Linked DNA regions of Oryctolagus cuniculus. The protein of the gene in region 2 binds, or shares a complex with, the protein of the main gene of each other region. Links are inferred from orthologs where the notes say so. Each region holds a gene or a part of one and is shown on either strand. Other genes may lie near its edges.

The links. Proteins that work in one complex are often made in the same cells at the same time.
Region 1: EIF3J (region 2) and EIF3E share a complex: the UniProt entries of both Homo sapiens proteins name them as parts of the eukaryotic translation initiation factor 3 (eIF-3) complex. The link is inferred for Oryctolagus cuniculus from reciprocal best matches to the Homo sapiens genes EIF3J and EIF3E.

Annotation. Positions count from the first base shown.
Region 1 is NC_091437.1:133,451,634-133,455,285, reverse strand, and holds part of EIF3E (eukaryotic translation initiation factor 3 subunit E), read left to right. Parts: intron 1-1,695; coding exon 1,696-1,738; intron 1,739-2,755; coding exon 2,756-2,860; intron 2,861-3,652. UniProt on the Homo sapiens protein: Component of the eukaryotic translation initiation factor 3 (eIF-3) complex, which is required for several steps in the initiation of protein synthesis.
Region 2 is NC_091443.1:67,483,295-67,486,946, forward strand, and holds part of EIF3J (eukaryotic translation initiation factor 3 subunit J), read left to right. Parts: intron 1-1,844; coding exon 1,845-1,899; intron 1,900-2,723; coding exon 2,724-2,815; intron 2,816-3,652. UniProt on the Homo sapiens protein: Component of the eukaryotic translation initiation factor 3 (eIF-3) complex, which is required for several steps in the initiation of protein synthesis.

The DNA.
Region 1 (3,652 bases), on a different chromosome or scaffold from region 2:
ATGCGCACCCTGGAAGGCAGCAATGACAATGACGGCTCAAATACTTGAGAGCCTGGCACCCACGTGGGACACCTGGGTTGAGTTCTTGGCTCCCCAGCTTCAGCCAAGTCCAGCTGTGGCCACATCAGATGTTTGGGGAATGAATTCACAGATGAGAGGAACTCTCTTTCTGAGTCTCAAAATTAAAAAAAAAACAACAAAGTTAATAAGAATTCTAATTTCTGGATTAGTACAGATGTTAATTCAGACTTTAGAATCCTGTAGTAAAAGTTTATTGTTGAGATGATTGCTTTATCTATTTGTTCATTTTAATCCTTATTTTGTAGGGGCCTATATTGCTTAATAAATGTTAATACTAAATTTTAAATTTCTTTATCAGTTTTCTATACCTGAATATATCCTTCACAGGGGACATTTGACATTGCCTGCAGACATTATTGGTTGTGACAACTGGAGGGATGTTACTGTCACCTAGCAAATAAAGATTAGGGATACTGTTACATACTCCATGGTGGTGGGACAGTATTCCCCTCCCATTCACCAGAGGAGAATTATCCAGCCCAGTATACTGATGAAGAAACCCTGTGTGTAATACCAAAAGCACATGGGTTGCTCTCTGTAAGAGAAACCTCAGTTCAGTTATTACCTGCTACATTCTCATTAACTTCCAGCATCTGATCCCCAGCCCAAGGAAAGTAGTGTGGAATTGATAACATTTTATTTCTAACTTTTCTTTAGCTAGAAATAGATTTATTGTTTGGTTCCCAAAGGAAGTGTATTGCCTTAGTCAACTTAGTAATATTACTACTGAAGCCTTTTGCATTATTGGAAATGCTTAAAAATCTACTAAAAATGAATATTACTGTTGTGACAATTCATACCTGCCAATATATACACTTGAGGAATTGTAAGATTTTATTTGTGTGAAAGGCAAAGTTATATATAGAGAGAGAGTCTTCCCTCCCATGATTCATACCCCAAATGGCTGCAAGGACCAGGGCTAGTGAGGGTGATGCTAGGTGCTGGAAACTCCATCTGGGTCTGGGTCTCCCATGTTGATGACAGGGAGCCAAGCATTTGGGCCCTCTTCACTGCTTTCCCAGGCCATAGCTAGCAAGGAGCTGGATCAGAGGCAGAGAAGCCGGGACTCTGCCCGAGTTACGTTATGAAATGCTGGACTTGGAGGTAGCTGCTTAATCCCTGCCTGGACCAAAAGGCTGAGTGAGGGAGATAAAATTTGTATGTAGAATTAATTCCTGCTACTTTGTACAGTGTATGTATTAGGGTTTCTTATCAGAAATCTAACCTCAGAAAACAAATACCATTCTCAGTAGGTTACTATTAAGTAGACTGCTGAATTTACTATAAAAATAGAAAAGTTAGAATGTTCTGGTTTTATAACCTAAAAGGCATCTAAAACCCTTAGACATGATAAAACTGAACAAATGATTTTTAATTAGAGCTAAAGGAATCGGAAAATATGTTGTAAGATTTGTAGATCTCTTATGTTCCTTACATTCAAAATTGAGGTATTCTCTTTGTATTAAATCTATAAATATTAATGCACATTTTATATATTAAATATTCCAGAAGCCTTATTTACAGTGTTTATATAATAAGATATTTAAAGTGACTTTGGACAAATAATGACTTTCTTGTGGTATATGAAATATAGTAATTTTTGCTTTTATTAAGGGATGGTCGAATGCTGTTTGATTACCTGGCAGACAAGCATGGAGTAAGTGTTTTTTAAAAATACTTTCCAGTTGTCATGTTTTAATAAGGCTGATTATAATCTAGATTTTTAGCAGATAGCTTCATGGCTTGACAGAATAATTATGAAATTTTTAAATACATCTGGTATGTTTTTGAAACTTTAGTTTTAAATTGGTGCTGACAGGAAAATATATAGTTGTGCTCAACTTTAGGTAACAGAAAATTCTCAAAGTTTTTGATTTGGTTATTCTGGAATTATTAACACCATTATATGTTAGTGCCAACAGCAAGCTAAATATTTTAGGGCACAGTCTACCTTTTCTTATGCGATAAGAAAGAAACAGAAGCAGAGCTAAATTTGAATTAGAATTGACTTTGAGCAACAGAGTTAAGTTTTGACATTTTAAAGGACTTCATAAATTCCCAAATTCACAAATAAATGTTACAGGCTTTCCTAGCGATCTCTCAATTCTCTTTCTCTTGTATTAACTCAAAGTGGGAAGTTCTGCAAATAATTAATTCTTTGTTAGATTCAAATTTTATCTTGTCATTTAACAGTTTCATAACAAGTTTGCTAACCCTTGTGCAAATTACTCTTTCTGGTTAGAGTGGATTTGTTTATGTTCTAGTTTGGAGTCCTATTAGATTTCCTCACTTTCACTTTGCTTGCATTATTAATTATAAAAGTCAGTGTGATTTTGGGACCCATTTTCACAAGAACAGAGATTTGTTGTTATTTATACAGAAATAGGATGCATATGCTTGATAGTTGGCTAATCTCAGTCACAAACTAAGGAGCATACACACCAGACCTTCAGCTGTAATTCAAAGCTGTATTACAATAGAGTAGGTATCATTACAATTCATAGTTTTTGAGGTCAAAACTGAGCATTAAATCGACCAATTCCTAATTGTATACTCTAAGATCAAGTGAGCAGCTTTTAGAAAACTTTAAAATAGTTTATTTCTTCAGGATGTTTAAAGCAATAAATGAATGGAATTGTAAAACTAGAAATTAACATACTTTTTTTTTTTTTAGTTTAGGCAAGAATATTTAGATACACTCTATAGGTATGCAAAATTCCAGTATGAATGTGGGAATTATTCTGGAGCAGCAGAATATCTTTACTTTTTTAGAGTATTGGTAAGTACTTCAATTTGTTTCTTTGCTTTCTGTTTTGTAGGGTACCCTGGGTTCCTTAAAACATGTGTATAGATTTGGGTCTATCAATTAAGTTTTCAGCAGTTGCTGATCAGAAAAATAAAGAAATTTTTTCCAATAACGCAAAAACCCAATAAAAATAAATTCTTAGGTTGGAACCTCAAAATTTGAGACTACCCATAAAAACTGAAATTGAACAATAAATATGCCACTGATGATAACTGAAATATTTGTCAAATTGAAAACTTGAAACTTAATGAGTTAATATTATTGAATAAGTTGATCTTAATTTTAATTCGAAGTATATATTCCTTGAACTTGGTCTAAACAAGTATGGAATCCTATTGGTGTTTGAAGTATTTTATACCTTAATAGTAACCATTTCTATTTACTTCTTTCTTTAGCCATTAGAATGTAAAAATCAGTTATTTGATTTCACTATGTGGGGTGTAGATAAGTTTGAATGGTACTGTTCTCTCTAAAGTGCCCTGATTATTATCTTCATTTGTCTATTTGATAAATTCCTAGATCCAGTGCTTTTGTTAGGGAAAGAGTGGTTTGAAGCCAGATTAAAAATCAGACCTTTAAATTGACAGACTTCTTTCTTATTCTGTCTTCTGTTTAGGTAATTATCTTAATGTGTGTTCTAGAGTAATCAAAATGCCTTTCTTATTACTAACCTCTCATTTGAGAAACTATAATTTGTTACTTATTCAAAGGTAGCAAATTGTTAGCAAATAGCTCAGTCTCTGATTTCTCTAGTTAATCCTAGAA
Region 2 (3,652 bases):
AAGTAAGAAGTATAAAGTTACCTCAGTTTTTTAATTTAAAACACTGAATCACCAAATAAAGCTATTAATTTTAGTTTGTATTTTAATTGCTAATGGAGAAACTTTTTTTGGCATTAGATGAGTTGGTATAAAGGCTCAGATGGAAAAACAGACATGCAGGAATGGTCAGGAAAACATGAAAGTCCTGAAAAGCTGCAAGAGGGAACTGGCCCTAGCAGACGTTAAAACATTCTGTAAAGCCTCTAATTGAGACGGGATGGTACTGGTGCACAAAGAGACATTAGATCAGAGGGGTAGAACAGAAAGCCCAGAAGTACATCCAAGGAATAAGAAATTTAGCATATGTAAATCACGGGGCAAAGATGGGGTTTTTTAAAATTAATTTATTTGAAAGAGTTACATAGAGGAAGAGACAGAAAAAATTTCCATCCACTGGTTTACTCCCCAAATGGCCAGGGCTGGGCCAACCCAAAACCAGGAGCTTCTTCCAACCCAAAACCAGGAGCTTCTTCCAGGTGTCCCACATGGTATAAGGGTCCAAGCACTTGGGCCATCTTCTGTACCTTTCTCAGGCACAGGGAGCTGGATTGGAAGTGGAGCAGCTGGGATTCCAAGCAGCACCATATGAGATGCCATCCTCGCAGGCGGCAGCTTTGCCTGCTACCCCAACAGCGCCAGCCCTGAATATGAGCTTTCAATGAATGATGCTATGACAACTGGGTAGCCATTTGGAAAAGAGTAGAATTACCTTTATGCTTCACACTATACATACGAAAAATACTCCATATTATCAGGGATTTAAATGAAGAAACAGTGAAAGCCTACACATTCTAGAAGAAAATGTGGATGAATTCTTCGTTGGAAGAAGAGACTTTCTGCCTGGAAATCCAGAAGCAATTAAAGAAAAAATTGCTAAGTTATGCATAAGTTTGGTGGAACACATAGCATTTCATGGGGAAACACAAGATATTTCCAAGAAGAGAGGAACAAGGCAAAGATACTGGTATCCCACATTGTAGAGATTGAGCCAGAGCAATGAGAATAAGAGAAGTCAATTGTGAGGCAGAAGGATTGGTGAAGAACAAATACAGTTGACTTAATTACAGATGATCTGCTAGTAGAGGTTGAGTGTCCCATCTGAAATTCTTAGGACCAGAAATATTTTGGATTTTAGGGTTTTTTTGGATTTTAGAATATTTGCGTATATAAAATGAGATGTTTTGGGTAGGAAACCCAAGTTTAAAAATGAAATTAATTTATGTTTCTTGGCACACAGTGAATGTGTGTATTATATCTTTATATATTTTGAAAGTCATGTATACAGTGTTCTTAGTGCACCTGCATTTTGACTGTGATTTGTCACATGAGGTCAGGTGTGGGATTTTCCACTTGCAACATACTCAGAAATTTCAGATTTTACAACATTCTGGATTAGGAATACTCAACCTATCTACCTAGAAAAGTCTATGATAAATGTAACTTAAGTGATAAATGAATTCAGTAGGGTAGCAGGATATAAAATTAACAGAAAAATCAGTAGCTTTATTGTTCATGAATAATAACCAGCTAGAAATGCAGTAGCAAAACAGAAGATGAAATACGTGGGAATAATTAGAAAGAGAAATGTGCAAAACCTCTAAGAGGGAAACTTTGAAACACTCATGAAAAACAACAAAACTAGACTTGACAGCTCAGTGTTATGTCAGTTATCTCTGTTAATTTACAAATTTAATGCATTACCTCAAAAATGGCAACAAGCTGTTTCTATGGAGTTAGACAAGTTGATAATAAATTGACGGAAACACGAACATGCGAGAATTATTAATGGGGGTCCTTTTCTTTAGGATAACTGGGATGATGATGACGACGAAAAGAAAGAGGAAGCAGAAGTAAAACCAGGTGAGCTACTGGAGCTCCTCCATTTTTGGTTTTGTCTTGGTAGGCATTTGGTGCTTAAGTTAAATGACAAAATTGAAAATTTTGGCATTTAGACAGGAAGTATTCTTTCAGTCCCACCTTAATTCTCTTTTCCTTGCATCTTTCTGTATTCCCTCAAACTATGAACAGTTGTGATATCTGCTGTTTTTTTCCTTTGTGTGACTATTATTAGGAGAGTGGAGTGTCTGGCATTTTAGTTCAAGAAGCTTAAGTCCATTCTAGGGAGTGATCAGGAAATAAGAAGGGAGATATAGGCCGGCGTCATGGCTCAGTAGGCTAATCCTCCGCCTTGCGGCGCTGGCACACCGGGTTCTAGTCCCAGTCGGGGCACCGGATTCTGTCCCGGTTGCCCCTCTTCCAGGCCAGCTCTCTGCTGTGGCCAGGGAGTGCAGTGGAGGATGGCCCAAGTGCTTGGGCCCTGCACCCCATGGGAGACCAGGATAAGTACCTGGCTCCTGCCTTCAGATCAGCGCAGTGCGGCGGCCATTGGAGGGTGAACCAACGGCAAAGGAAGACCTTTCTCTCTCTCTCTGTCTCTCTCTCACTGTGCACTCTGCCTGTCAAAAAAAAAAAAAAAAAAAAAGGGAGATGTTTGGATTTTAGTGATCACATTAAGGAGGAGAAGGAGAAGCTCCAGAACTTTTCCATTCTTGTCTGCCAGGAAATCAGCATATGAACCGGAAGCCGAGAAAGGTTTAGTCTCTTGAAATATACAAATATCATGTCTATCTCATCCATAGACTGGTAAATATTCAGTGTAACTGTGAATAAAACATTTCTTTCAGAAATAAAAATTTCAGAGAAGAAAAAAATAGCAGAAAAGATTAAAGAGAAAGAACGGCAACAAAAGAAAAGGCAAGAAGAAATTAAGAAGAGGGTAAGTGCTGTTTTTTTCCTAAGATACAGAATTCTCATGGCAGTTTTTGTCGTGTCTTACAGCCTGTGAGTACTACCTGTCAATTTGAAGGACTCTGTACAGACTGTAAGTGAATGCCTTAAGATAGGTGAATCCCAAAACAGACTGCTGTGTGGTTACTGCAAAAGCAGAATGCAGAACTGTCATGTATTAGATGCCATTTAAGTTTTACAGACATTCAGGAATAGTCGTGACTGCACAGTGACCACAGTCAATGATTTTTGCCCATGTCTGCAGTTCTTTGTAGTCATTGTGTGCAGTGTACATACTGAGTGAGATACAAAAAGTATCTGTTTCTGTGCTGTTCTTGGTTATTTGAAGCAGGATCAGGAATATTTTTCTTTTTGAATAGAAAACACATTTATGTGGCTCAAAAATAAAAACACTATTAAAAAGCACTCACAACCTTTTATTTATAGAACCTGTATCTCTCTGTCCACCCTATAAGTAGATAGTTTTAAGATTATTTATTTGAAAGGCAGAGTGAGAGGGAGCGATGAGAGAGAGAGACCGCCCATCCCCTGGTTCACTCCCCAAATGGCAATGATAGCCAGACTAAAGCCAGGAACCCTATCCTGGTCTCCCACAAGGGTGGCAAGGACCCAAGCATTTGGGCCATTTTCTGCTGCCTTCCCAGGCACATTTTTTTTTTTTTTTTTTTTTTAACAGGCAGAGTGGACAGTGAGAGAGAGACAGAGAGAAAGGTCTTCCTTTGCCGTTGGTTCACCCTCCAATGGCCGCCGCGGCCGGCGCACCGCGCTGATCCGATGGCAGGAGCCAGGAGCCAGGTGCTTCTCC